Oryzias latipes: one gene and its partners. The protein of the gene in region 4 interacts with the protein of the main gene of each other region in a biochemical or structural test. Links are inferred from orthologs where the notes say so. Each region holds a gene or a part of one and is shown on either strand. Other genes may lie near its edges.

What was found.
Region 1: the proteins of ptpn11 (region 4) and caveolin-1 form a complex in vitro, tested with the Homo sapiens proteins (2 studies listed by BioGRID). The link is inferred for Oryzias latipes from reciprocal best matches to the Homo sapiens genes PTPN11 and CAV1.
Region 2: the proteins of ptpn11 (region 4) and frs2 interact in a test that uses a peptide from one of them, tested with the Homo sapiens proteins (2 studies listed by BioGRID, with this or other methods). The link is inferred for Oryzias latipes from reciprocal best matches to the Homo sapiens genes PTPN11 and FRS2.
Region 3: the proteins of ptpn11 (region 4) and txnip are reported together in a solved structure, tested with the Homo sapiens proteins (2 studies listed by BioGRID, with this or other methods). The link is inferred for Oryzias latipes from reciprocal best matches to the Homo sapiens genes PTPN11 and TXNIP.

The regions. Positions count from the first base shown.
Region 1 is NC_019864.2:2,996,360-3,004,140, reverse strand, and holds the start of caveolin-1, read right to left. Parts: upstream 4,982-7,781; 5' UTR 4,754-4,981; coding exon 4,718-4,753; intron 4,019-4,717; coding exon 3,851-4,018; intron 1-3,850. UniProt on the Homo sapiens protein: May act as a scaffolding protein within caveolar membranes. Forms a stable heterooligomeric complex with CAV2 that targets to lipid rafts and drives caveolae formation. Mediates the recruitment of CAVIN proteins (CAVIN1/2/3/4) to the caveolae.
Region 2 is NC_019864.2:4,364,776-4,372,523, forward strand, and holds the start of frs2 (fibroblast growth factor receptor substrate 2), read right to left. Parts: upstream 4,069-7,748; 5' UTR 2,969-4,068; intron 515-2,968; 5' UTR 447-514; intron 376-446; 5' UTR 350-375; coding exon 284-349; intron 1-283. Other genes in the region: receptor-type tyrosine-protein phosphatase beta, read right to left, coding at 6,568-6,666. UniProt on the Homo sapiens protein: Adapter protein that links activated FGR and NGF receptors to downstream signaling pathways.
Region 3 is NC_019869.2:21,666,662-21,674,584, reverse strand, and holds txnip (thioredoxin-interacting protein), read right to left. Parts: upstream 4,344-7,923; 5' UTR 4,226-4,343; coding exon 3,970-4,225; intron 3,574-3,969; coding exon 3,498-3,573; intron 3,420-3,497; coding exon 3,272-3,419; intron 3,189-3,271; coding exon 2,829-3,188; intron 2,733-2,828; coding exon 2,427-2,732; intron 2,343-2,426; coding exon 2,292-2,342; 3' UTR 1,485-2,291; downstream 1-1,484. UniProt on the Homo sapiens protein: May act as an oxidative stress mediator by inhibiting thioredoxin activity or by limiting its bioavailability.
Region 4 is NC_019870.2:1,410,578-1,417,813, forward strand, and holds part of ptpn11 (tyrosine-protein phosphatase non-receptor type 11), read right to left. Parts: intron 5,482-7,236; coding exon 5,362-5,481; intron 4,840-5,361; coding exon 4,726-4,839; intron 2,918-4,725; coding exon 2,821-2,917; intron 2,745-2,820; coding exon 2,665-2,744; intron 2,584-2,664; coding exon 2,425-2,583; intron 299-2,424; coding exon 167-298; intron 95-166; coding exon 1-94. UniProt on the Homo sapiens protein: Acts downstream of various receptor and cytoplasmic protein tyrosine kinases to participate in the signal transduction from the cell surface to the nucleus. Positively regulates MAPK signal transduction pathway. Dephosphorylates GAB1, ARHGAP35 and EGFR.

The DNA of each region.
Region 1 (7,781 bases), on a different chromosome or scaffold from region 4:
AAATGATCTGAGACTTGATTTATTTAACTCATCATGTTTATGTGCAAACGTTAAAAAAGAAACGCCTTTTTTATACAACCTTTACAATTACAGACAGTCTGTAAAGTAAAGTCACCCTGTTGTCAATGAGGTGAAACATCTGCTTTGCATTTGACTTCCTCCTCCGGGAAATAAAGCCACAGCAGTAGGAATCACTTTACTACTTTGACTCCACAATTCATCCAGCGTATGATTTTTTTAGACTATCGTGTGTCTGAACTGTGGACTCAAACCGTCCCAGACTCAGGCAGACACTCTCCCACAGGGCCACTAAGCTGATTTCTATGAAAAGCTGTGTGAGATCTCCAGGCTCCTGTCAGAGTAAACAGCAGCGCTAAAGTGGCTGCTTGGATCAACAGCTGGCAAAACTCAGTGTGCAAACTAGTCTGACACCCTTTCAGTTTTTCCACAGATCCACCCAAAAGTGGCTCCAGGTTCCAGTCTTTGTCAGAAACCAAAGCCTTTTTCCACCTCAGAGCAGCCCCACCGGAGAGGCAGAGCGACACAGCTCCATGAGGGGCCGCTGTTGGTTGGTGATGCCGAGCAGCATAATGAGGAAATCCTCTAGGTTACCCGAGGACACCAACTTCCCGTGCAGTAAACACCATAATGGGTTTGTATGCAGTTCTGCAGATGAAGCTTTTTACAACTCTGTTAATAATGACTTCAAAAAAACAATCTTTTTCAATCTAGCTCCCACTTTGCCCAAAATGTTGGATCATTTGACTGAAACAGACTTCTAAAAGTCCCTGAAGCTTTTCCTGCAGACCTCGGATCCATTCTGGATTGCACTCAGCAGCACATTTATCCCATCAGCAGCTGATTCTCAGTATGAACCTCTGGTGACTATTGGGAGGCCTGATATGAAACAATGCAGTCTTGGGGTCGACATGTGACCAGTTGGCAAAGCAACCGTAATATTGAGTAAATAGGGCCAAGTGCTATTTCCAGAGTTTTATCTTCAGGCTGTCAGACATGCTTGACAAGACAGAAGAGTGCGGTGCATCAACAGACTTCTGCTGGAGTTTCGGGGGAAGAGAGTCTGCGGTTTGGTTACAGATACGAATTAACATGACCGGCATTGAAAACATTGGTCAATATGCAAAATTGGATTTTTTTTCATGTGTCCACTCCCCTTTCTTATCCCTTGTGCTATCTTAGATGACCCCCCCCCTTACATTGACGTGTTCTCCCTACCATGACAAAGGTGGATAAAGGTGGAAAGATTTCATGTAATCCATGGACACCAGTGAAGATCACAAATCATTGAAGAAAAAAGGTTCAGAGCACTGTCTAGTGGGTCTAGATGGTAAATGGTAAATGGCGTATACTTATATAGCGCTTTCTACCTTCTTACGAAGGCCCAAAGCGCTTTACAGTCACAGTCCCATTCACCCATGCACACACACATTCACACACATTCACCCACTGATGGCGGCTCCGCTGCCAAACACTGGCACCAACCTCCCACCAGAGGCAAGGTGGGGTTCAGTGTCTTGCCCAAGGACACTTCGACACATGGGCGTGCAAGGCGGGAATCGAACCTGCAATCTTATGTTCATGGGTCGACCGCCCTACTGTGCACCACGGCCGCCCCAGATGATGACCCAACTCCCAATATTAACGTGCCTAGGATAGCACAAGGGTTAAACTAAATGGCATCCATGTGAATGATTCTCCAAGGAAAGGGAAGTTTGAAGCTAAAAAGTGAAGTTTATACCAAACACTATGAATAAACGATGTTCATCCTCTTTAGTTTGTCCTCGGTACACCTGAGTCTGCTGCTGGAACTCAAGCTTCTCCACGCAGCTTCAAAAACGTCCTGTGCAGGCATTTGACCTCCACTCTCTGCACATAAAAAAGGCCCACAACATAAGGAAGGGAAAGAATAAAAAAGGCTCTGAGAGGGAATATCCATTGTTTCATGTGGCCAGATGATTAAGGCCAGCTGTGGTTGCAGCTGCAAGAGAGCCGTGGGTTTTCTCACATGTATGAGTCAAAGCATCCATGCACTCAGGATGTGTGCTGCTTGTCATATGTGTGTGGAGCTGTGTGACGGCGTGGCTGATTACACAGTGGATGACCGCAGAAGGGATTCCCTGTTCGGACTGGATTTAGCTCTTTCATACCAACCAGCTGCTTCCATCAACGGAAAAGACACGACTGCTCTACTTATAGACCCACTCTGATCTGTGCCATCTATCCAGCCGTGCAGTTTTGAGCCAAATATCAGCTCAAACCAGAAAAAACAAACCATTAATGGATCTGTTTACAAGTGGATGCATCAGAATGGAGCAAAGCGGGGAGCTTGTGGCACACCCAGCATATTTTCTATGCAACCAATGCGATCTTTTTCAGAGTTTTTTCTATGCTCCTGAATCACAACAATTTCAGTAAAGACACACTCAGAAATGGCGTTTTTGAGTTTCATTTTCTTTATATAAGTCCTCCATCATCAGAAAATTACCACAAGAACATGTTAAAAACAACAAAAACACCATTTTCAATGGAGTGGGTCTTAAACGTAGCACAGATTTAAGAATAGCTTAAACCTTTTCAGAAGTTATCATGGAAACTGGAATTCATTACACAAGTTTCTTGTTTACAGTCCATGACCATGTGATGAAAACTAACTTTGAGGGCGGTCAGTTGACTTGATCATAAAGCCTCAATCTGCCCTGACCGCAGGGAGAGTCTGACTCACCGTCACAACTGAGAGCAGGAGGATGCAGAGCGGTGAAGAAGAGACAGAAACAGGAAATCTTAAGCGCTTTGCCAAGTCTGTGCAGTGTAATAAGAAAGGATGTGTTGGTCATTATTGAATTCACTCACTTCTGCATTTAGTGCCCACTTTGTCTCATGCTAGTGACTGGGTGTTTCCAAGGGGCAACATTTGTACGTTACACTGCAGATAATGTTCCCGTGGAGTGAAATATCAGCTGAATCTGATAAAATCGAATCATTTTGTGGAGGAATTCCAGAAATAACATGAGAGGAAGAACTGTTTATGAGTTTGGCGGTTGGTTTAGCGATTCATACATGTCTTCAGATTTAAATCCTCTGGCTGGAATGCTGACAGGTGAAAGGGGGGAGATCAGAACACTGGGAGTGGTGAGGGATCCCCCTCTGACTAAGCAGCTACTTGGGTGTTTCCCTGTTTTAACAGCGCAGTTCAGGCATTTCAGAGGCCTGACCCATCCTTCTCATGCAGGGGGCTGTTTGACCCCGCTCTGATGTGAAAGCCCGCCTCAGCTGGAGTGGAGAGTGACAGACAGCTGACGCTCCCCTCCAGTATCATAGCGCCTCAGGTGGCTTCCAGCTCTCCCTCTCATAACCTCTGTGCGCATGTCCCTTATGGAAAGAATTCAGGGTTTCAAGGCAACCACTGTGGGAAACGTGAGTCCCAAAAACAGGAAATTCGTACTGTTTCCTTTGTTCCGATGGTCACGTTTTTAATCCGTGCGTGCAGATGGGCTGTGCAGCCTGCGCAAAGCACAACTCCATCTGCAAAGTTCCTTCCTAATAGGGGGAAAGAAAGTAAGAGGCCGCTCTGGAGAGGCAGCGCGCAGCAGCGTCTGAGCCCCGGGAGCGCACGATGACGCACAGGCGCAGAAAACACCAAACCAGATTTTAACACTTGGACAGTTTTTGATCACATTCTTGGACTTTAAAAGCAAAAAGTGGCCGAAATGTCTGTGACACAGGAGTCTCTCAACTGTTATTTTTTGTTGTCACAAAAAGTCTTGAAAGATTCTGCAGCTGCAACTTTAAAAGTAACTTGAAAAGTTCGAAATTAGCAGGTCTGACTCACCTTGACAACGTCGTCGTTTATTTGTTTAGGGTCCCGGTTGACTAGATCTATCTCTTTGGTGTGGACATCATCCATCGTCTTCTCGTTTACGCTGTCGTTGTCCATGTCTTTGTTGTTTGGCTTGTATATGTTCCCCTGCTTTCGGATGAAGGGCGACTGCAGAAACTCCTGTGGAGATCCGAGGGAGGCAAACAAGTGAGGAAGAGGAGGAGGTGGTGGAGGCGGAGTGGTGCGCAGCGCGCCGAGAGGGAGCGAGACTGCAGTGCAAGTCACCGGCCTGCCTCGAGAACAGGGATGGGTTTAAGCGCACTGAACACGCAGCACCACACCCCTGCACTCAGCCGCAAGGGGTCCTCACCACCCACACAGTGCTCCTGTCCTGACCTATCATACAGTTGGCTCCACATGGATGTGGACGCATGGCAACGCTTCAAAACATTTTCTGTGAAAAAGCAACAGTGTTTCATCTCACCATCCAAGCAGAATATCATCTACTAATCTTTTTTTTTTTTTTTTTTTTTTTTTACCAGAGGTGACATTTGTAAAATATGAATATTCATACATGCAAGTATATGTTGTAAAAGTGAATCCTCTCAAAGCTTTTATGATTTTGATCATTTGTGGAAAAATGAGGTTGAAAATCCAACTTTTAAACGCTTTTAAAGTCTCTTCCTGGATGAAGCAGAGCAATCTGACGCGTAAAGCTCAGGATTTGGTTGCGTTAATTGGCTTTTTCCTAAAGCGCAGCGCTTGCCACAGCAGGAAACTAAAAATACTAGAATAACTAGTTTAACAGAATAAAACAACAACAAGCAAATATCAAAAAGGGGAAATAATTTAATTTAAAAGGGGAGAGCCATACTGTACCTCGTCAGCGTCTCCGTCAGTGCGCTCCCCTGTCATTCTGTCCTCAGGAGCAAATGGGGTCCTCCGTCCAAACACAGATCACTCTGGGAAGCGAAGTGGGAGGCGTGAGCGCGGACTACCGCGCGCCTGATGATGAAATCAACCCTGAGCTGCCTTGGCGCCGAGTGAGACAAAACTGCGGAAAGTCTGAGCGCGCAGGGGAAAGCTCCGCTGCGTCTGCACAGCCACCTGCGTGTGCGCGCTCGGCACAACAGCCGCTTGGGCTGCAGAGAAGGACGTGATCTCACACCAAAGGGCTGCTGTGACACGCACGGAAAAAACCCTGCTTCGTTCAGGAATGAAGGCAGAATAAGACGGCACTTGTTCAGAGGGAGGAGGGTGAGATGGGATTACTGAATGTCGAAGTGGGAAAACCTGCCATACCTGAGTCCCAAACCGATCGATTGTTCCAAGAGAAAAGAAAACAAACAAGCAAACAGATCAAGAGGGGGAAAATGCAGAATTAGTAATAACATTTGAGAGCAGGTGTCAATGCTTTTCCTTTTCTTGTCAGCTTCAAGTAAAGCACCCGGCATCCCTGATAGTTTCCTCTCACCTCTTCTTGGCAGCAGCTCACTCATCAGTGGAACAGAAGCAATGTATGGATTTTATGGAATGGTCTTTTTCTTCTACGTGTTACCCTTTTTTGATAGGCTTCTTGTGCACAATAATTAGTCAGGGTGAAATGCGGAGCACTTATTTCATTACAAGTAGCTGTAGTGTACCTTTAAGATGATCTTTTCTGTTTCTAAAAAAATATGTTATCTTCTGTAAGCAGACTGATATCTGCATAATTATTGATACCTGTGGCAGAATTTGGCTTGGGGCCTTACTGCTGGGTTGTTCTGTGTGACTGGGATTCCTTTGCTCCACCCCTAAACTCTACTGTCAGTGCCCATGAGGGTAACAGCCGCAGCAGGTCTACTCCTTTAATGTGCTATCCTAGGTACGTTACCATTGGGATTTGGGTCATCTAGACCCACTAGACAGTGCTCTGAACCTTTTTTCTTCAATGATTTGTGATCTTCACTGGTGTCCATGGATTACATGAAATCTTTCCACCTTTATCCACCTTTGTCATGGTAGGGAGAACAGGTCAATGTAAGGGTGGGGTCATCTAAGATAGCACAAGGGTTAATTTGCCCTGATACCTGTAACAATGCTACAGTCTCACTATGGAGTGGAACTTAGAGACCAACTCCAATAAACAGTGTATTTTTTGGTGTTGTTTTGTGGCATTTTTCTGATGATGGAGGACAAATAAAACTAATATTGAAATTGCATCACTGAGTATTTCTTAATTCAAATAACTGTGAATAAGGGACACAGAATAAAAATTGCAGTTTAAAAAAAGAGCATATTTGTTACATAGAAAATACGTTGGGCGGGCCACAAACATGCTCTGCTCCATTCTGATGCATCCAATTGTACCCATTCCAACCCTTTGAGCCTGTAGACGTACGTCTTTGTTTTCCTGGTCTGAGCTGGAGTCTGGATCTAAACTGTATGAATGGATAGCTCCAGTATTGCTCACCATTTTTGTTGCATCGATGATGTTAGGTCGGGGGTGTCATGGATGGATGACGGGAAATTAGGCAGAAATGCGCCACACCAACAGTCCAGCCCACAGCTCAGAGTTGAATTTTTAATGAACTTATGCCGCTCTGTAGAAACTTATGGAAGTGATTCTGTAGAATAATTAAAAATAAAAGTCAGAACCAGAAATGCTTTTTCATTTTCAAAATGAAGCTGCATTTTTGACTCAAAATGAAAATAAAAAAGCAATCCACCAAAATGTTTTTTCTTTCCATCTTCAACACAACTTATTCTGTGTCAGAATAAAAACGAAAATGCAAAGAGGGGATTGCATTTTCATTTTAGCATCCACCCTGCAAACATTGTCGCATTATTCATTTCGAAAGAGCATTTCCAGAGGGGAGACGGGGCGATGACATCAGTGCTAAATCCGTGTGTCCGGCTGCTAACAGACACATGCTAGGAGCAGTGGAGCTCATTTAGAAGATAGTCTCCTGCAGCTTCACGCTGATTTTGCTGTTCAATGACAGCTGGAGTCCCATCAACAGCTATAGCAGATTTCACCATGCTAAACGTTTGCTGGTTGGACCAACACACACTCAGCTTCACGCTGAGTGTGTGTTGGTCCAACCATCTATCTTCTAAATGTGCTTTTATTGTTATGATTATTATTAAGGGCCTGCTCACTCAATTTTTTTAAATCCGTTCGGTCAGTGCTTTTTTCTTCGCTGGAGGACCCGAAAGACGAGTTAGCATTAGGCTAATATGTGCTTTAAACATTAGCCGTGGAGGTACTTAAAACTCCTTGCGGGCAATGAGCATATTGGATGTAAATATGTGGGAATTACATCATCCTTTATTTTTTTCTGGACACCACTGGAAACACATATTCATATGATGGTTTCTCAGATCATATCAGCACTTCTGCCTTCGGTGAACGGGAGATCGGATAGCGGGGTTTCGCGCTCCGCTATGCGAAGGCAGCTGCTGGTCCGAGGGGGGGGGTGCAGGGAAATGCTGCTACGTAGTCCTGAGAAGCTGTCTACAATCATCAGGAGTTCACAACCATCACACAGCCCTCTCCTCTGCCGCTAACACAAAGCTCCACTGCTCCTAGCATGTGTCTGTTAGCAGCCGCACACACAGAGAACACACTGACGTCATCGCCCCGCCTCCCCACTGGAAATGCTTATTCGAAATGAATATTGCGACACTATTCACAGGGTGGATGTTAAAATGAAAATGCAATCCCCTCTTTGCATTTTCATTTTAATTATGACACAGAATAAGCGGTTTTAAGTAGAAAATGAAAAAGTATTTTGAAGTATTAAATTTTCATTTTAATTTTGAGTCTTTTGTTTCAGTTACATTTTGAAAATGAAAAAGCATTTCTATTAAACCCATTTTAATTGTCAAATTAGACAATTCTAAATGAATTTTGCTACAACAGATAACTTTTTGAAAATGAAATGTCAAATACCACGTCATT
Region 2 (7,748 bases), on a different chromosome or scaffold from region 4:
AAACTCAGAGCAAGTTTAAGCTCATCATTGTGTCTGGCTGCTGCAACACAAAACCACCTTACAAAGGTGCCCAGAAACATGAGCATCCAACATTGAATGTCTCAGGAGTTCAGAGGTCCTTCTTTGGTTCTGTGACATCACAGCTGGATAATGCACAAACATGTCTGCAGAAAAACTAGAACACTGACATAAGCCACACCCCTACCCTGACTGCTAACTAATAAGAGCGGACTCCACAACAGTTCAGTCAGGGAAAAGACATGAGCAGGAAGGAAATGCTCACCTTGAATTTACTCTGATGATTATCTGGAATAGACTCTTTCTCTGGACAGCTTAAGCAGCCACCCATGGCTTCTTCAGAGCACCATGTGACATCTGGAAGAAAACCAGCAGCAGTGAAGAACAGGCACAGGAGCCATGCTGGCCCTGTACAGGTGTGGACTCACCTAAATGCTGCCTCCGAAAGCTGTGCCTCCATCCTGAGAGCCTGAGGGACTCGCATGCTTCAGAGCTCCTTCAAAACAATGACAGACAAGTCAGAGCTGTGCTGTAAGAGAACTACAGAGTCAAACTTCACAGGGATTACGTCTGCATACTTCTGAGCTGCTGGAATTTCCATTTGCTTTTTAAGTCAAAAAAATGATTAAATCCTCATTGCAATAAAAAAGGCTAAATCCACCTGTTCAGTAAGGGATTGCATTAAATGGTGTCATCTGTTGCTCACTAAGGCTGGAATGGTCTTAATGGAATGATCAGTAGTAGGATATAACAGTTCACTTTCACCACAACTCCATTAAAACCTCCATTTTGGGGTTCCGGTGATGTGTTTCAGTTCGATACATGATTGCTTTTTTTTTTTTTTTTTTTTTTTACAAAACAACAAAAAGGAAAAAAACAGGAAACCTTTTTTATTAGCTAAAAAGCGAGTAAAAATGCAGAAAACCAAAGCCTGGTGTCATGTCCTAAAATAATAACTGCTTCTTACACGTGGGTTTGACGCTTTCAAAGCAAACATACAGGTATGCAGTAGGGATGCCGCGATTCACTTTCTCAACGTTTGGGTTCAATGGTGTAAAGTACGGTTACAGCATTGAGAATTTTAGCATCCCTGATCAATAGCGATAGTAACAATCACAGTTCAGTACAATTTAATGTTTCTTGCTTTTAGTGCATGTCTTTTAGACAAGTGTGAAGTGGCGCTGTATGACGAAACTAACCTCATAGTTTAACTAACAGACTCACTTCCAAATAAAGAAAATATTACATTTGCTTCTGGTGAATAAACAGATGCCGCACGGCTCCTCTCATGTTTGTATGTTTGAGTCCCACCCTAATCAACCCAGGCAGGAAGTGGAACGACTTGAGGCATGTATGTACAGGTATAACATACATGTGTGTGAGGGATGCAGATACACAGTGTACCCCCTCAAAATTACATTTTCAACTTCTGCAGCAGTGGTCCAGCACACATCTATGCACTGGGAGCAGACAGCAGCTGGGTTGGTACTTTTAACCATAGATTATTTTCTCCAAAGCGAGCAAGAACTGAGTCCGAGCTACGTTTTAACCTAAAGCTGGAGAAAATGTGTCTGACTAGGAAAGCAGCATCGTGTGATTCAGATCAAGCTCCCAAAGACTTCAATCTCCATCCTCTCTGAATGTTGATAGTGAGGTGGCGGTTCGACAAAATGTTCTTCAGGTAGGGAGGACCTGCTCAGGTGACCACCCTTCGGGCCTGTGTGTGTGAGTGTGTGTGTATGTGTGTGTGTGCGTGTGTGGTGGGGGGTTAAACAAGTGCTCCGTTTGCCTGATTAAAAGGTTTGGACCCTCTTCAGCAGTTATCACTAGGGGTGTAAGGATTCATTTCAGCGATTCAATTCATATCATAATTTGTAGTTGCTGATATGATTCATCTTGATCGATCAGATTCTTTGACCTAAAGTGGATCCAGATCATCTTAATCCAAAACTTCAACCAGTGAGACTCAGAGAAATTCCTGGTACAGAACAGTGAAGGTGAGGTTTTCCAGATTGAAACAATGAAATCTGTGTCCAAACAAACAAGTAAACTAGAATGAATGTCAAATCCATTCACATGTTAGTTTCCTAAAGTTCACCACTGTTGTTTTTCCACATCCAAAGAATCCAAAGGGAACATTCTTAGAACATTCTAGACACTGGATGGTCACATGACTTTATTCAAAGTCTGTCCACACATTGGACTGGAATGATGGACTGATCAGTTTATCACATGCATGTTGTCCGCTGTGATGCACTTGATGGATTTTACATTATATTGATGGAATTCTTTTTTAAACGATTCTATAAGAATTGGGGGACGATTTAATTCGATTAAAAACTTGCCTCTAACAGATCAATCTGGTTGGATCCTAGAGGCATATATGGATTCATCGATGAAGTAGACCAATCATTCCAGCCCTAGTGATCAATCCAGCCACACTGTGTGATCAGGTTGGTCTGATCGTCTGTCAAACTACTTCAGCCGGTTTCCGAAGACCTGGAGGGGGTCTGACAGCTACAAAAACTAAACTCCGAGTCCGACGGCCTCAGATTCTGACTGTCAGACTGAATACTTTAGCCGTGACACGCGTAGGCGTGTGCGTGCCGTGTGTCCGTGAAGTCCTCCGCTTCCTGGGGCTTACTCCAGAATTTAGTCAGCGCATCCAAACAAACCGTGAAGCCTGTGTCCGCGCCTCCCAACCCCAATCCCCTATCCTCCCCTATCCAAGACCCGAGCCAGAACCATCTGCTGCTGGTTCGTGTGTAGAGATTGGTCAGCTGCTCCAACTGGTCTTTGAGTGGCAGATAGATGCGGGTCCAGAGCAGCTAATTAGCAGCGAGCTAAGCTCCTCCGTGCTGCTTCAATAAGCTAACTCAGATTTCAGCTCATTAGCCCCCCAGGGCTCCCCCGCGGCAACAAAGTTGTCGACTCACCCGGCAGAACTTACCTGGTTCCGTAAGCGCGGTGACGTCCAGCATCAAGATTTGGGGGGGCTTTCAGCAAGCGGACGAGCAGCTCGTTTCTGTTGGGTGGTGACGGCAGGCAGCTAGCGTTAGCCGCTGCTACAGCAGAAAATCCTCCATGTTCCTCCGGAGCGCCAAAAAACAATCACAACTTCTTTCACACGCGTCTAACGCGTCCGTCCCCACGAGCCGCAGTGCCTAGAACACCCCCAGTCCATGGGCAGTCCACGGCGTTTCACTGTGGGCACCCTCCCTCCGTCAAAATGTACTTTTATGGGACTAAAATGTGGTTTTAAGCGCCCGGGCAAAACCTAAAATGCTAGCCGTCTCATGAGCTAAATCACTGCGAGCCTAACTTCCGATACAGCAACGGCGCCACGGCGCATGCGCCGTCCAAGAGCTCCGGGAATGTGGGGGCCTCAGAGCCAGCCGCACAAACGAAAGCACAACAAAATCCTGACAGAATAACACAATCACTATTAACATCCAAACAATTCCGTTTGGGTTAGGGGGAAAATAACCTAGAGAGAAACACAACAACACAGACTCGTGTTGAATTACAGTAACAGTGAGAACAGGACAATATTCAGGAACAATCCTTCACTTACCTTTGGGCGTTGTGGTCTTGTAGAAGGTCCACTGCTGACGTCTGCTCTTCTTTAGCTTTAGTAGAGACACATTTTTAAAGATTGTTGCAGCAACGTCATGTTAATGTAATGTCCGATTTCAGTGATGCTGTGTTGTTTTTGCATTGTTTTTGTTGTGCCTTCTGTGCGTTTTGTTTTTCTGTTTGTGTTTTCTACCACTTTGTAGAATATTACAATACTGTTACATTATTTAAAGTTGTGTGTTGTTGCAGTTCTGTGTTTTTGTTGAGTCATTATTGTGTTGTTGCAGTTTTCTGTTGTTGTAGGCTTGCTGTAGTTTTATGATTGTGCTTCTTTAGTGATTAGTGTTTGTGCAGTTTTGTGAAGCTGTTGGTGTAGTTTTATGATTGACTTCCTGGGGGGCATTCCAGAAGTCACTATTTACCCTGACTTTAACCCTGAACTTTGGCTGAAATCCGCCTGAACTTGCTTAAAGGCCCGTACACACCGGGACGAATTTCGCCCGCGATATTCGCAGACGTTTAACGCCTCGTGACTAAACAAAGGGCACCAATGTGAGTGTGCACACCGATGCGAAAAAATGCCACGCGTCAAAGCGTCACTTTTTAAAAAACGCCTCGGGTTCGTTTTTTTTTTTGACGCGTCGCGTCGAAATCTATTCGACCAATGAGAATGCCGCTTCTGCACACGTGTCTGGAGCTTCTGAAGTGACAGTAAAACACAACTTGGGGGCGCTCAAACACAAAACTGCCTTGCTGAGCACACCTACCAGCGAAGAAGATAGACGCAGAGTTGCATCTACACAGCCGCGAAGAAATAATGACGGACATTCTAAAATATCCCCGAACCAAGCACCAGTTGGAGCAACTGGTGCTTGAAATATTCATGTTTTCTTTGAATGATTCTGACAAGCGTGTAAATACTTGCTCTCTTCTTCTGAGTGAAAAGCGACTTTAAGAAGCATAAAGTTGCGCAGCGCCACCTTGTGTACAGGAGTATTTCTGTTTACATTAAGCGCCATCTAATGTCAGGGAATGAAATTGCATGTTCGCTCGGCTCATCGTCAGCGAAAATCGCCTGGGTGTGAACACAAAAGACGTGTTGAAAAACGCTGGCGATTAATGCCTGGTGAATATTCGTCCCGGTGTGTACGGGCCTTTACTCTGGGTATGTCGGTTCCAAAAGATTAATTACGCTCCACTTGGTAACCCTGGGTTAATGCACGTGCACAGCCACTACATAAAGACATTCTCAATGGATCGCAGATTTCCGGAGTCACCATGGAAACGTGTGGAGAAAAAAAGAGAGCGCTATACTTCAGTGACACGCAGTCAGAGATTTTAATGACGGCGTATGAAGATTATGCGACCATCAAAAAAGTAATGTGACTGCATCATCAGCAAAAAAAAAAGTTAATATATATATATATATATATATATATATATACTTTTCACAGTTTCTGTGTCTTAAAGCAGCACTAGGGGTGCAAAATAAACTCATCATCCTCCTCTTCCTCCCTCTCACTCATGGTACAGAAAGAATTAAACATAACAGGAAAAATAACTCGGTAAAACACAGTAAAACAGCTAAACAACTAAACACATTTGGTCAAAAACCCACACTTAAACCAAAATCCGTCCAGACAGGCAAAAGGAATGGTATCCCACAATCCCCTGCAGTGCTGATCTAACAGCAGCACCAAGGTCCACCTACTTAATTGAATTAATTTGAATGAAAGTAAAATAAATGTCCGAAAACTACACGTTATTTTTAAGATGACTTAACTAAAAAAATGATTTATCTTAACTGAAGCAAATAATTAAGTTAGATCAAAGTAAAAAGTTTAATTTTCCAACATCTATATGTGGTCTTATCACCCTTTCATGGTGGAAAAAGTATTATCTGAGCTTCTTCATCCACTAAATCATCTTCAAATGGACACGCCATGCTGCTTCACCTCTCTGAAAACAAACTAACCTTCAACTAAACCTGCTCCAGACCAGGTTATGTTCAGAGCATGAGTTGCTATGGGAACTTGACATACCCTGAAACATACCTCCATTTTTGGGGCCGAAAGCTGAGGTTATCAACTTCCTTAGCCTCAAACTTACCGTGGTAACTAGCATAACCTGCTTTCTGGAATACCCCCCTGTACTTTTGTTTTTGTGTTGTAGCTTATGGTTGTGCTGCTTTAGTTTTGTGTTTTTCTTGCTATTGATCTGTTTTGTGGCAGTTTCATGTGCTATTATAGTTTTATAATTGTTATACTCAGTTTTGTTTGTGTTGTTGTAGCTTATGATTGTGCTGCTTTAGTTTTGTGTTTGTCTTGCTATTGATTTGTTTTGTTACAGTTTTGTGATTGTGCTGTTGCAGTTTTATGATTTTGTTGCTGAAGTTTCATGCTTGTGTTGCTATAGTTTTGTGTTAATGCAATTTTGTGTATGTTTTGGTGTTGATTTCTATTGCTTACTTTTTCACTGTGTTGCTATAGTTTTGGATTCTTCTGCAGTTTTGTGTTGCTGCAGTTATCTTGACTTATTCCAAATGAATAATTAAAATGGTCAAGCATCTGTTCACGTGCTGTGTATTTATTGAGCTTCAGACACTATTGTTTGTATTACAATCACACCGAAGTGCGCACCCTCACACACCCACACACCCACACGAATACACACACCTACACAGGACAGTGCTGAAAGAAAGTACTTTATGCTGACTGAAGTGAGTGCAGTCACACAGGAAAGTAACGCATTGCCACTTTTTCACAGGGAACATAAATAAGTGAAAGGTTTAGTGCAGACAAAAACACATGAACATGTGTGCATATGAAAATAAAAATATGAAGGTTTTTCTCTGCAGCGTCTCAGCAGGTGGGCTGCCTCACCATCTGTGGGACATAATAATGTATGCTTGTCAGCTGAGGTGATGGTCAAACGGGAACTGCAGTGTGGTGACTGGCTGACTCACCTCTGGATTTATATTCTCAGGGGGGTATGGAGGCAGTCCTGCTCATTGCGCAGCTTCCGGGCTCTCAGGACATCTCGAACACAGTGATGAAGGTAAGAGTACTGACCCTGGGGGGAGGGGGGCAGAGCAGCACGTTAGGCATGGCTGTTACTGACACAGAGCCCCTCCTCCTAATGGTACATGTAAGAGACAAATTAGTTGGACAAGGACTGGAAGGTTCTCTGATAAATATAGTATTGCTTCTTTTCCTGCTGACATGAAAGCTAATGTGAGAAAAAACATGGACCCAAAGATAAGCTCTGACAAAGACTGACATGAGCCTAATCATACATCCTGACAAGACCACGGAGATCAACCATAGTTTAAGCGCTGACAGAAACCCTGATGTGGGTCCTTATATAAACCATGGTAAGAATCCTGACATGAGCATTCACATGAGTCCTGAGATAAGTTGAGATATGATCCAAGAAATTAACAATTTAGTGAGCAACAACTTCAACCCTGATGTGGGCACTGAAATTAGACTATACACAAACCCTAAAAATAGCCCATGCATGAACTCTGACATTGCCCTTACATATGAGCCTTGACATTAGCTGAGACATGAACTCTGAGATGAGCAGTGCAGTGAGGCCACACGCATAAACTCTAACATGATCCCTGACAGGAGCTCATCTATGAACAGTACGATAACCCCAAACATGATCCATGGGATGAATTCTGACATAAACCCTGAGATAAGCACTGACAAGAACCCAAAGGAAATTACTGACAAGAGTCCAACTATAAAGCCATTAAAGCTCACATAGGGTAAGACTTGAACATGAACTGAGTAATAAAAAGGTTGGGTGGCTGTGGTATAGAGATTGAGTGATCGTCCTCTGATTTAAGGAACACAGGTTTGGTTCCCTTGTTCCCGCCTTGTTCACCATGTGTCAAAGCGTCCAACATTGCTCCTAGTGGTTACAGGTTGGCGCCAGTGTAAGACAGCAGAACCGGCATGAGTGACTGTAAAGCTCTTTGAGTCTTGAAGCAAGGTAGAAATGCACTGTACAAGTATACACCATTTGCCATTTAAAAGGAGACGGGAGCCATTAACTCTGACACTAGAACTGACATTAGCTGAAATATGAACACTGACATCAGTCTTGACATGCACCCCGATGTGAGCGTTGATATTAACCATAAT
Region 3 (7,923 bases), on a different chromosome or scaffold from region 4:
TTTCTACATTCAAAGCTTTGTCTGTCAAACGTACCAGTTCTAGTCTGACCCGTGTTGTTGGTGCCTCTTACGGTAACAGAGCTTTGGTCATCTGAGCTGCACTACTTACTTCTGGCATTTCAGTGAAGACAGTCCCATCCTGTGTCCCTTTTGAATAGTCTTTTTCTTTTCCAAATCTGGAATGTGCTGCTGTTTCTGAAGCGTTAGAAGAAATCCCCTAAATTACTGGGCTGTTGAGTCATAAAGACATTTCTTAACATCCTGTCGTCAGGCCCACAAATTCAATCACTAGGGGGCATAATTCAGCACTTTTGTCTGCCGGGTCCAAGTTCAGGTCAATGCAGAGGATCAGTCATGTGAATCCTAAACAACTTTTCTCACCGGTTCAGTCGTGGGCTGGTTTAATGAGCTCCAGCTCACATGTCCAACTCCAGTTCTCAAGGGTCAGTATCCTACATGTTTCCAGCCAATCTGCCATGTAATCAGCAGCAGGTGGGGCTGGGTTTTTGAAGACCCAGCAGTATGCTGGTTCTTGAAGCATCCTCTAAAGTTGTTGGTGGAAATTGGAGAACTATTGGTCAGAAGAGGAGAGGAGCGGGACATGTTTGTAGGCAAAGAGAGGAAAGGCAAAGGAGGAACTTTGACAAGTTAAACTTTGGTGGAAAGTAGAGGGGTGGACATCCAGGGATTCTACAAGTTTGCTAAGAATCTTCTGAATAAGAAGACTGTAAGAGAGGGTGATGAAGCTGAAGCTGACAGTTGAAGGTATGATGTTCAAAATTGTCAATTGTTCCTTGGCCTGTGTTTTGGCAAGAGTCTGGCAATACGTATTACCATGGGCTATATCCCAAGACAATATTAAAAAATATATCAAAAGTTGAATGTAACCCTTGTGCTATCCTAGGCACTGTAACATTGGGAGTTGGGTCATCTAGACCCACTAGACAGTGCTCTGAACCTTTTTTCTTCAATGATTTGTGATCTTCACTGGTGTCCATGGATTACATGAAATCTTTCCACCTTTATCATGGTAGGGAGAACCCTTCAATGTAAGGATGGGGTCATCTAAGATAGCACAAGGGTAAAGGAATCTATGTAGAATAAAGGTAAACTAGAAAAATAAGGTGTTTGAAGGAAATAGTTGGCTAAGGTTCCAGCTGTGATTAAGTGGACTGGTGTGCAGCCAGAGGGCTGTTCTGTGCTCCGTCATGCTGACGTCTTTTCACAACTATGAGCTAGAGATAAGGGCGTCTGGGTTGAGTTTCATTGCTCTCCAGAATGCAGTTTCATAAACAAGAAGCACAAAACAACCAAGTCAAGTAATAATTGGTAATACTAAAAAAAAATGAAACATTTCAAATTAAAAAGGGAGGTTTTTGATTTTATTATCAGCAAAAAAGGAATTTTCTGTCTTTTGCAATGCCGTTTTCAGGGACATCCAGATCAGGTTGGGTTCATGTTTAATGGATGAAACAATCGACAGGTTTTTCTTTTCAAGCGTTTATTATATAAAATTTGACCCATGGGGTTCATACAAAAATACTTTCTTACAACTCAGTCTTAAAACACTTTTCAAACTTTTAAAGTGAAGAAAGAGGGCAGATTTGACTGAAATGTTGTCTGAGACAACTGCAGAACAGATACAGCAGTTCTGTAAGGTGCTTCAGCATCACACCTGCTGAAAAGAATTAAAGTCAGAATATAATCAAATTTGGGATTTCTCTTTTTTTCTTTTTAAATTAAAAAAACATTTTTTTACATTTGTAACACACAGCCAAAAACGTTTGTTTGCAGTAACAGAGCATAACTTTAAAAAGTGCGATTCAAAAAAAAAAAGAAAAAGGAGTCATACACAACATGCTGAGATAATGCTCTGTGGAAATAAGGAGGCTCCTTTATCATCCTAAACGTTTGTTCCCAACAAACTGATGAGCCTGCTGAGAGCCACAGCTCCTCTTTGGAAGAAACTGGATATAACTGGAATGAACAAACCAGCCAGGAGTCACAGCCTGACTCACACACGGCTCCTTCTCAAAGAGTAAAAAAAAAAAAGTGTTCGACAGGAAGCAGCAACACCAACGGACTCCGGTTACTCCATGGAGCCTTTAGACGGGAGGAACAGCAGACGGAGACCTTCAGGACCAACCGAACACCAGGGGGAAACTCTGGATGAAGCACAGGCATATGCAGAAACATCATCATCGCAGGTTCTCTCCAGTTTGGACCTCCAGCTTCTTGTTGAAGTGCATTCAATGATTGGTCTTGGAGAACTGGACCCGCAGCTGCAGCATTCAGCAGACTGGCAGCATGCAAACGTTGTTTCCGTTGTACTCTTCTTCGGTCTGCAAAACACGAAGCAAAACCAGAACTTTCAGAACCGTCCCAGCAGCTGCCAGAAATGCGCAGAACCCTGTTGATCGCCTTACCTCGGCAAACACAGGCGGTGATGGGAACTGGAAGCTGGGCGACCTCATGAAAATGGGGCTGCCATCTATGTCGTCGCAGTCACACAGCAGCGGCGTGAGGGGCTGGTCGAGCCGAACGTCCCGCGTCATGTCAGAGTAGCTGGGGGGATTGGAGGGCATCTGCAGGGACACCCAGCTCTGGGAGGCGTTGCTTACGGAGCCCTCCTGGCTGCTCACACTGTTGCTGCGGCTGCCGAGACCGGCTGTCCCGATGACCAGAGGCAGCTCCAGGATCACTTTCTCACTGCCGGGAATGTGGACGTAAATCTGGAAGAAGAAAACAACAGACCATCAACACGTGTTTATCTCAGGAGGAGCCACAGGTGCTCCGCAGGCATGCACACTTCACCATCGGTGGCTCACCATTAGTGCATACTCCACACGGATGATGTTACAGCTCAGCATGGATGGCTTGATCTTTGGTACCCTGATGGTCTTCCCCTGCCAGGCGTCACACATGCCAGAGATGATGTGGTTTCCACGCACTGATGACAGCTTCTGCCTGAAGACCTTGGTGCGGCCGTTGGCCTGATATGTGTGTTTGGCAATGATGGCAGCTTTGGGAACCACGATGCGTGAGCAGGTGTTCTCGAACTTGGCGTTGATGCAGATGTCCTCGCCTTCACAGAAACCACGCCTGTCGATTTTGGCGTTTAGTGACACTTGGCCGTCGGGAATGAACATGCAGGTTACTTTCTTTTCCTTGGAGCCACCTGTGGGAGACTGAAGAGCAAAAAGAGGTAAAAAGAAGGTTAGCACGGCGGCGAATCCCAACATCTACACCCATGGATGTTCTGATTACTCACAAGTAAATCTGGGGTGTTGACATCCAGAGGTTCCTCCACCTCGAAGCATTTCTTGCACTCAAGCGTGGGCTGCAGCGGCCTCTCCAATTTAGCCTTCACATAGTACTGAACATAGCCAAACTTCCCCTTGTAAGAGGATACCAGCTGCCTATGAGCAAACACAAACAGGATTAGAACCACAAATCATTTCATGACTGAATGAGGAACTAAAAAAAAGGGGGCTTACCCTTGGTCGGGGAGGTCGAATCCAAAAGTGTACTCATATTTATTCCCAGGCCTCAGCACGACAGAGCCATCTGCATCTGGGGAGGGGGGAGAAAAACCATGAGTAAGGGGGGGGGGGGGGGGGGCAACTCTGTGGGAAATGAAAATGAAGGTGGGACATGATGTAAACAGAGCCAACTGGGACAAAGTTCAAGCACGGATGTTTCTGATTCCTGCCTCACTGATGAACCCCTGTAAATTCTCACTGCGTCATATTTCACCCATGAATCCAAATTTATTAAACTCACTTTAAAATAGACTAGAGTTAAAAAAAAAAGAAGCAGCTCACTTTAACCACAAAAACAGCTTTAGATTTATAAAGTGGAAGAAAAAATAATTTAACTACTTAATATTTTTAACGTGTAATTGTGTTATTTAGCTAGGACAAAAATAATTCCAGCACTTCCAACAGTTCCAGTGCGCACGAGGCTTACCTTTGGGCTGGTCGTGCAGGCTCAGGACCTCCTCGTGCCTCAGGTACTCGGCCTCCTGTCGGCATCGCTGCTTCCCCTTAGCGTACTCCACCTTGGCACAGCCCAGAGCCACGACTTTCACCGCAGACACCCGCGTCAACTCGTTCACCTCCACCTCCACGCGGCCGCACACCTTCTCCCCGCCGCAGTAAAAAGTCTTGCTCGGGTCCGATAAGACTATCTGAAAAGTTTTCAGTCTCTTCGTCATGGCTACCATGGCTGCTGAGGCTGTGAACAATGCTTGCTCGTGCGACTGAAGCTTTCGTCGTCTGAGGCTGTAAACAACAGAGGCGGCTGTATTTTTCTTTCTTTCCGTGAGCCCCGCGTGATGAACCGCCTCCGCGGTGTGGCTCAGCGCATGCACAGCGCTCCTATTGGCGGAAACTCTAGGTTTGTCTCGGCTTTAGCCAATCAGAGCGCAGAGTCAGCGCGTGGACAGCGCATGCATACGAGAGTGCAGCGCGTGCTCAGGAGATGAGAGACGAAAACTCAGCGTTTATAGTAAACACCAGAAACCTGGGAAGTACAGGCGTTTCCCTCTTAGGTCAGTTATTCAGCTGCGTTACAAATGAATATTATCAGTGCTATGATATAAAATCAGTTTACAGTTAATTTTGTGTCCTGATATGCTGAAACTGGATGATAACAGATAAAGAAAAACCTGAAAACACTATATCAAGCAGTTAATGGTCAAGTTTACACGACGTTTATTGTCTTATGAACAGACAGATCCATAAAACAATTGTGAGGATCAACTCATTAATATTTTCCCAAAGCATTAAATACTTTAAAATGTCTGTTTGCTGCTGAAGGGCCACAGTGTAGGCTACACTTTTTAAAAGTGATATAGATTTTTTTGTTGTGGGTTTTTATACTGTCTGCTTGTATTTTTTTTCGCTTGTATTTTTTTCCCTATTGTTCAAAAAGACAATTCCAACAATACAAAAAGACATCAAAATGTAAAATAAAAGTATTTGAGGTTAATTTAGGGTGACATTTTTTCAACTTATATAATGTTAACATTTTATCCTTTTAACGTCACGCATGTTAGGTCAAATATTGCTTACAAAATAAACGCCAGAGTTTCACTGTAAACAATTCATGAAGTTAACATTACAGTGATTCTTGATACTTCTAGAGTCCTCAGTAATTGGTAGGGATGCCACATTCATTCATTCATTCATTCATTCATTCATTCATTCATTCATTCATTCATTCATTCCTCTTCTAAAATCCACTTCAGGGTCACGGAGCTGCCAGACCCTTTTCCGGCCATCTTTGCTTCCCTACAGCATGCCATTATCTTTTAGAAGGATGTGTTATTTATGGTATTTATGGTTTTTGGTATAAGCCAACTGAAAGATTTTTCTTCATTCTTTCTTGCTAATTAGCTAATTTAAAAGAGGGATTTTCAGATATTTTTTAGCTTTATTGTTGTTTTGTAATACTCAAAATAAATATGAAATGGAAACAAAAACGTGACCCAAAAATTGAACCAAGTCATGGAGAAAGTGAATCTTTGCATTCCTGGTAAATACTTATATAGTGCTTTTCTACCTTCCCTTAAGGCCCATAGTGCTTTATTCACATTCACCCATGCACACACAATGGCGCCAACCTGTAACCACCAGGAGCAGTGTGGGGATCAGCGTCTTGCCCAAGGACACTTCCACACATGTGGGCCGGATGGAAACGAACCTACAATCTTCAGATCAGCTGCTCTTCCTCTGCACCACGCCGCCACCGCAGATATTATTGGAAGAAGATCAAATTTGGTCTAAATTTTAAAAGAAAAATGAATAAAAAACATTTTGCAACTTTTTTCTCTGTGTTGTTTCACAACCATCAAATATATTTCTGTAAAAAGCAAGAACCTTTTAATTGTCTCAGAAGGCTCAAGTGTAATGTAAACTGATCGTTGTGGCTCCTCTCTCAAGTATCCCCACGTCTGTAACAAGATGCCCCAACTGACGCCACATGTCTTCTGAATGGTTGACTTTTCTGGGTATCGCATCTCTTCAGAAGTGGGATCTAAAAATATTTTTGTTCACAGACACAGTGATGGAAATCAATTTTGTAGAAGGGATCATTTCGTACTGTAACCCTGGTGCTATCCTACGCACTTTACCATTGGGAGTTGGGTCATCTAGACCCACTAGACAGTGTGCTGAACCTTTTTTCTTCAATGATTTGTGAACCTCACTGGTGTCCATGGATTACATGAAATCTTTCCACCTTTATCCACATTTGTCATGGTAGGAATAACACATCAAAGTAAGGGTGGAGTCATCTAAGGGTTAAAAACAAGGGTTAAAAAAGAAGTAACACAATTATCTGTAATAATAAGGTTTCCAAAGATTTGTTTAGGTCAGGAAACTCAGTTCTTTCCTCATTTTTATACCTGAAACATATTAACTGATTAAAGTGATCAAGTTGATGCCTCACTGATTTCCTTTCAGGATAAAAGATGTCTGGAACGTCTTAAAATGCTGCATTACCCCAATGATTGGAAAAATACAGCTCTTCTTCAGACTAACTTGGGTTTATTGTAACTTTAAATATTTTTTTCTGTCTCTAATATATCTAATTTGCTTTTTTTTATTCATGTAATGAAAAAAATACATTTGAAAGGAAAACCTTTCCATGCTACACAGATTTTTTCTACTGTGGGACAAACACTTTCATCCAACATGCCATGAACAACTTTGGTGTGAGATTTCATTGCAGACTGACCTCCAGTCTACATCTCAAAGCATAAATTCACAGCAATGAAGCTGCTGAGTGCAGACTGACATACAAATGAATGAAATGAGTTCCGAGATTCCCAAAGCTGTGACAGACCAAGGAATGTCTACGTGCGATTTGACGAACCACGTCAAGAAGAAAAACAAGTCAGTCCAATCAGTTTCAAAATCTTATCACACCACATCACGATGAACAAGCTCTGCATTGAGAGAGGAAACACCAGGAACTCAGCAATCAGGCCCTCTGTGGTTCTTTATGTAGTAGAAGTGCAGAAGTTCAACCTGTCACTTCTGAGCTTTTTTTTTGTAAATGCAGGGCAATATGCAGCTGCTATGATGCTGGAAGGATGGACAAGACCTGATAAGCAGTAAAGAAAGTGTAATGGTAGGCAAAGGAAAAGTGAAAGAAAGACCACGAAAAATGTGTGGGGGTGGGGGGGCACGTTTACAGCATAAACAACTCAAGGGAAGCGAGGGTACACAGTGTGCAGAGGTCTCTACGTTCTTCATGATCACCAGCCTTCAACCACCTCCATAATAATTTAGGACTGACTCAAATCCTTGCACGATCACAGAATTTCAATATAAAACTTTGGTCAGAGGGGTTGTTATGAAGCTTCAGCCTCTTGAAGGTCACGCTAAAAAAACAATGAGCTGCTTTCACAGGAAAACAACCTCAGTTGAGTTGGTAGCCAGATAACATTGCAGTCTATAAAAAACAAATGACACATTTCCATGAAACCCGTTCCATTTCTAGAGTCAAAGAGCGTCGTTTTGTTTTTGTTTTATTGCACACCAGAAACTTTTTCTTTTTCTTTTTGCTTCAAGTGACACACGTTGTGCACATGTTGCTTCCTGGGTCTTCCAGCCGCCGTGCACTTTTTTTGTCTTCCTGCAGACAGACGTGCCGAGGGCAGCGAGAACCTTTTGTTCCACATTTCAAACTCCCAACCACAGTTACAGAGTGTTCTCAAGTTACTAGAGTGACAACAGACAACAGCCACTTCCTTGGTCACGTGACCTCCTTACGTAATATGTTTTCATTTTCCAGACAAGGCAGAGGCAGAGTTTCTTTGGGTTTTGTCGCAGTTCTGTGTATTTATACGCTTTGACACACATAAAAAAAAAACCATGAGAGAATGTAGAACTCCACAAATGTTCATTAGAAGAA
Region 4 (7,236 bases):
CTAGGAAGTCCAGGACTCCGCCCGGGTCGGTGGGGACCCCGTGGTCCGGCCAGGCCCTGAAGTGGTACTGCCACACCGTGCGTTCCGTGTTTCCCTGAAAAAAGCGTCAATCCCGATGAGGGTTTCTGGGAAGACGGTGGCGGCGAATTCCGTCCGAGCCGCTCACCTGCCCCACTTTGGAGAGTTTGAGCTCTCGAAGGATGTAGTCGTGCGCGGACGTCTCCCTCACGTTGCGGACCCGCATGGCGCCGTACTCTTTCAGCGCCGACATGTCGGGCCAGTACTTCACACACTTACTCTGTCAGAGACACACAGTTATTCTCTCTGCTCGCTTCTGAGCGGCGAGGAAGAGAAGCAGAGGGACGTCAGACAAACCCAGATTGAGGCAGATTAGAGAGGAAACAGTCCTGGGGCCTGTTTCAGAAAGGAGGTTCGACCAACTCTGAGGATAAACTTGAACTCTGAGTTGGTCAATCGGGAGATTAACAACTCTGAGTTTTCTGTTTCAGAGAAGCTGATCGGAGTTAGGTCAATCACCTCTGAGTGGACTGATTCAGAGTTAAGCGTGCGCACCGCGACTATAAGAAGCCATTATCAATGGAGCGCAGATATCATGAGTCACCATGGCAACCGTGAAAAAAAGAGGTTTGCGTATTTTTCTCCAGCTGAACTTGACGTGCTGCTGCAGAGTTACAGTGAATATGAGCACATATTCCAGAAGAAAAGCAACACCGCTGCATCTGCAAAACAGAGACAGTTAGCGTGGGAAACATAGCTGCTCAAGTTAATGCCTAAGTTTGCATTTAAATCATTGTTATAAAATATTGGCTGTAATAACTTTCTAAATAGCGTAAGGAGTGAAATAAAAAATGGCGATATTTAGGTTTACTTTTGAAGTGTTATTCCTGGTGTAAATGCATGAAATGCTGCATAGTGTACAGAACCAATCTGGGGGGGGGGGATGCATTTAACGTCGGTAATGTTTAGAGGACTTTTTTGTTAACCTTCCCCTCTTGCAAACGTTGGTCAGTTTAATATTAATACATGCAATTTTTTTTTTTGTGTGTTTTTAAAAGTGAACTTTTGTCTACTGTTGAACCTTTCGCTGCGCGAAGACTTCTATTTTCTTTTCTCTCGTCTTTCCGACCGACCGTGGTCAGAAGCGCAGGGGAGATTTCCTTCAGGGCTGAAGGGAATTCTCCTTCGGGGTTCACTTCCCGTTGGAAACCCTCAACCTCCAGAGCGGATTAAGAATGACTCCAAAACAGTTATTCTGGGAATGACACCTTCTCTTTATTTAACTAAGTGCTCCGTCCTCCGAACACACAATATATACCACGCACACACCTCCGCTCCGCTCCGTGCTCACCCCCCCCCCCCCCCATCTGCACCTGCACTCGCCCCTCCCCTTGTCTCTCGTGGATCGCACCCCGCTCAGCACACACACACTGCAACACTACCCTTGTATTGATCAAGTGGTATAGGTTTATATGGGATTAAGAAAGTAAGCAGTGCTAGCAAATTGTGTTTCCAAAAAGTAATTGTTACATTAATCTAATTCAATGTCCCTGATTTCATTTTCATGTAGATGCAATCCTGCAGGAATTAAAAGAACATGGCAGCAGCTAAAAATGAAAAAAAAATCGAGTCTTCTCAAAATCCTCGTACGAGGTAAATGTAATTCTCTATGAATTAATGCAGCCTCCTCGTCTATTGGGTCCTCCAAAAAAGAACAAGCCATTCTTGTCACTTAGACCGTCTCTGTGTGACGGACATGTGGACAATGAAGGTTAAAGCGAAAAATACCGCTTCGTCTTTAAAAAGGGGAGGGGACCGGCAGAAACCTTGAGTTTAGAGAATAAAACCTGCTCCCGACCAGGTTAGGTTCACAGCATAAGTAACCATGGATACTGACTCCGAGTAAAAGTTACCTCTCTTTCAGAAACGGGTTTGACTTACTCTGCTTTCTCTGGTTTAACAAACCTCCCATTCTGAAACGGAAAACCCAGGGTTTCCCTGATTTCAGGGTTAACGCACTCAGAGTTTACACTTAACCTCCTTTCTGAAACAGGCCCCTGGAGTCAGACATTTGTTTGGATTCAGTCAAACAAACTCAGATTATCTAAAACCCTTCAATGATTAGAAAGAAGTTTAATACAAAAAGGAGTTTTTAGAATGAAAAAAGCATATTTACGGTACAGACCAAAAGTTTGGACACACTGAATGAGAAGCTGTGAATGTACTGTATATGCTCAGTTTTATATAGATATTATACTTATATATATTGATATATTCCACAAAGGAATTCAAAGGGGAAGAAAGGAAAACGGTCAGATCACATTGGTCAAAAAAAGCTGAAAGCCTCCAAAAGATTTTGCTAAAAAGAAGCGATAAATGTATGGAAGACTTGTCGGCGGCCCTCACCTTTCCTCGTTCCACCTCTTTGGTTGTCATGACGATGACCCGCGAGTTCTCCTGAAACACCATCCTCCAGAAGTCACTGATGGTGTTCTGCAGGCAGCCCTGAGTGGCGATGTAGCTCTTCTTCAGCTTGTGGCTGTTGCACTTGGCGTCCAGCTCCGGCTGCAAACCGGCAGAACCAGAAGCTGCACAAACCCGAGCGCAAACGGACCCGCAGAGCCGGACGGCGAGAGGGAGGCTCACCATGATGATGTTGGCGTTGATGTAGTCCGAGCCGGGCTCGTTGGGGTCCCCGTCGTTCAGCACCACCCGCGTGTGGTCGACTGCAAACACAAACGGCAGATGAGAAGAGGGCGGGGTCGAGCGGCCTGGAGTGGCGGCGGCGCCGGGGGCTCTCACAGGGCAGGATGTTCTTGTAGCGGTTCTTGTTCTTGTTCTCCGCCCTCTGTCCCTCTTTGCGGCTGTACAGCAGTTTACACTCCTGCTGCTGCAACGTCTGCATGCAGAGAAAAGAGGAAACTCCAGGTTCAGATCTGCTTCTGGACACAGCTTTAGCGGCGTTTGGCAGAAAACGCCGACACAAACGTGAAGCTGCACGTTCATGTAAACACAAATTCTATTATTCTATTTTATTCATCATAGCCGCTTTTTCAACAACTGTAGTTTATTGAGGACGTTATTCCAAATATCTGTACACGTCTATACACTCAAAAAAATTGGATGAACTCAATTTAATTGTGGGCAGGATTTCCATCCAATAAATATGAGTCGCACCAAATCAAAAAAATTCCTCCATGTAATGAAATATAATCGAGTTAGTCGAACTCAATTTTATCAAGAAGACAAAGCAAAAAACATGGTGTGACACTATTCTGGAAGGTAGAACCTCCACATGCAGACAGACTGATCCACTGAGCCGACTCTCCTGTGGCCTCAGGCATCCAACACTATAAAGACAGAATCATTTTCTACATAAATGAGGTTTGTCGTCTTTGATCTTACTGGGAGAAACCCAGTTGAATCCATTCCAAGCCACAGTACCTTTTTTACGTGGAAAAACACGAACAAAAGTTCAAAGGATTTGAAGGACCAAAAGTCATGGCAGGCATTAGACGAAAGAGCTGAACGTTTTAATAGTTGAATGGTTAAAATAGGTGAAAAATTGTAGCCGTAAAACGGCGGAAGATACTATAAGAAGAATAAATAAAGAGAAAGAGGAAAACAGCATCCAACCAATTAAAGAATAGAATCACAGAAGAAATGATTTTGCAGAAGGTGCAGTCTGCACATGTGCACAGCATGCCCCCTAATTATGAATTTATTTATTCAATACTGGAGTTTATAGGTGAAACTATTAATACATTTTATGTTAGGTCAATTAAATATAGATACATATTTTTAAAATAAATATATTTAAATAAAACAAACGGCATTTACTTGTGTTGTTACATGAAAGAGGGTTTGAATCCCTTTTTTGAGTGTAGTTTTTTCCCAAATACTTTGTTTTTTTTAAAAGTAAATTCAGAAAATGATGAAGTGACATTTCTGCACAGCAATCACTCCTCATGGTTATTGATCTGTTAGAATAACACAAAGACTGCTGCCCCTAAAGCCAAAACTACACTTCTTCTTCTTCAGGTGATTGAAGCTGAACTTCTGGAAAAAAACACAGGAAACCGGCTCCATCTGCTTTCAAAATAAAAGTCTTCTGACATGATGAGGACTTCCCCTCTGGCTCCCCAGACTGCTGACATTGCAGGGACGTTTGGAGCTGTAGGGGTGTCTGAAAGTGTTTCTTTGAGGAGGAGCCGCAGTGACCCACGGCTGGGTATTCCTCTGCCGGTGGGGGGGGTCCGCGTCTCGCTGGCACGCCAGGAAAAAGGCTTTTCTTTAGGCGGGTGTGCTCTGAAGCACAGAGGTTCATGACTAAATGTAAGTATTGGCTTCCATGACAACGTTTTAAAGTTATAAACCACTGTATTATGGCAGCTACACGCCAGCGGGGGAGACCGGCGACCGTTGATGATGTCATGGAGTGGTAGTCATGTCCGGATTTTCCATAACCGTCTTGGAGGGATAAATGTCGGGGTAGGGGATGAATTCAGATTCAGCCTAAACGTTGGAGGAATGTCTTTTGAGTTCCAGTACAAACACTCATCAAGCACATCAGAAAGATCCTTCATGATTCTGACCGTTAAACGTGCTGCTGCCGCCGCTGAGGTTACGGTGGGATTTCAGAGTAAAAGCACGCTCCCTGTGCCTTCAGAGTAAAAGCAGGTTGCTCCTCTTTCTCAGACCACTCACCTCAAACTCCTCCCAGAAGCCCTGCTTCACCTTGTCCGTGGCCTCGGCCAGCTTGCTGAGCTCACGGACGCGGCTTTCGATCTCCGCTGCGTTGATGCGCGTCGTGTTGAGCGGCTGCAGACCACAGCAGAAAACATTTAGTGCAAAGGTCGCTCCTGAAGGTCAAGACGGCGCCACATTAGAACATGAAGACATTACGGAACAGACAGGAAGAGATTATAGACATGTTTCATGCAAACGGTGAACAGAAACTTGGTGTTTACAGACTTTTATATATTTATTTGAAAGATAATTGGCTGGTTTCTTCAGACGAGTGTCAACGACAGGAAAGAATCCTCTGATCCATGTCGACACACGGTGTTAACATGCAAACCAAATGTCCCGCCACAGGGAAGGTGTGCAGGAATGCCTTCTTTCCATCCATTTAAATGTAAATACATCTACTTTCTAAAGTTTATAGGTTTTTTTTGTTGAATTTGAATGTTTTTCTTTAAACAAACGGAGGCAGGAAAAGGACAAACACTCTGCATTAACGCAGACATAAACCCAAGCTTCTCTCACGTGGAACCAATCCAGCTGTTTATTCTATTGTTTCCACGGAAACCCCTCGGGGGGGGCGGCGTGAGACTCCCAGACCTGTTTGAGCTGCAGCACGGTGCCCAGCGTTTCCACCATGGGGTTCTTCTTGTAGTGCTCCACCAGGTCCGTGAGGGAGTCGAACTTCTCCCCTCCGCCCACGTCGTACTTCAGGTCGTGCTGGAAGAGCGTGACAGTGAACACGTGCACGCGGCAGCAACACCCGCCTGACTGCATGTCACCTTCCTAAAGGCAGCCTGGATGGAGGCCGGTCTCCATGGCAACCGTCCAGCTTGCTGACAGGCAGATAAACACGTGCAGATGTTTAGACCCAGAGCAAATGAATGAAGAGACTTTTGGAGGGAAACGAAACGGTAAAAAGAAATATTCCTGCTTTAGATCAGAACGATTTAAAATTTAAAGTAGCGAACAAGCTCTGGGAATCCTTTAGACGGAGAATGACGGTTGTGATCCTCCAGTGGAGTTCAGTTTGGATGAAAAAACAGAAAATAAGGTTTTCTGCAAAAGATGGTTGGTTTATGAGCAAAATGGTCTGAAAATGTGGCCGCCGCCACGATTATTAATGTGATACGGAGTAGTTTGCTATTACAGACACCAGCAGAATTCACCCAGACTGCTACAAATAAAAAAAAGTCACTGCAGCTTCACCTACAGGCCTGCATTTCTCCTCCATTTGTTCATCGAGCGGCAGCGTTTAAAAAGCACAGCAGTAGCTGCGTTTCCATTGCCTCTGAAAATGCGCAATTGGATTTGCGATAACAAATTTGCCGAAAAGAAACAAGAAAAAAACCTCACACTTATCTCAAAAAGGTTTTTGCGCTTGGAGAAAGTGGTTTTTGAGGCATTTCAAATGTTTCCCAAAACTGCAATGGAAAGATTTTCTCCTAATTAAACGAGTCCGTGACCACCAACCGGATGGCGATGCTCTTCTTGGTAGGAACTGGCGGGCGGGGGCGCTGCGCAGCGGGCGCCACCAGAGGTCCCACAGCGTCACACGGATGATCAAACGTTAAGCGTCTCATGTGGAATTGTTGGATCCACAGCTCCTCTGGAAAACCAAAAATGGCTTCATCTGTAGCCCCTCCCACATTCAGGCCGATTGACACTTCAAAGCGATCAGTCATCCCACCACTCGCATCCACAGTCGCGCGGTCTGCTTCACGCCACTGTTGCTTGGATTTGGTTACGACCATCTGCGAGGACGGCGTTGAACTTCTGAGGGGCCTTTCTACTTTTCACACAACGCCATCGTCTCCGGGTTTTTAATAACACCAACGGCTTCCTGCTCGTTCACGTGCTGCGTCTACCAGCGGGTGTCGTCACCGGCGGGTGTCACATTCTGCAGCGTCTGGGGCGATGATGATGAGCGCTAGCGCCGTGGTAGAAATTTGAATGGATCTGCTGTCAATCAAAGCATCGTTCACATCCGTCGCAGAGTTTTTGAACGACTTATCGTGTGACTTGCTTTGTGTTTATACGCATAATTAGGGTTTAATGGAAACAGTGTGATTGGGAACTCGTGTTTTCGACATTTTGATAGAATTTTGATAACGTTTTGAGCATTTGTGTGATGGAAACACAGCTAATGCCCTCAAAACCAGTCTCTGGCTTCTCCCATCGTTGACTTCCACAGGTTGACCTTTGACCTCTCCCAGATTTCACCGCGCACAGATCCAAATACCTAACTACTAAAAGACTTGCTAGTTTTCTGGATTTTAAAGCAATTCTGAGGCCAAAAAAGCCAAAAAAGATGTCAGAAATAAAAACAGAACAAACATTTTACTCTATGAATTCTCGGTGTTCTGATGATGAAACCTGGATGGTTTACAAAATTACAATAAAATTCCATATTTTCACATGAAAATCCTTCACACACAATGCATTCTGGTCTATATTCGCCAATCTGGTGATCAC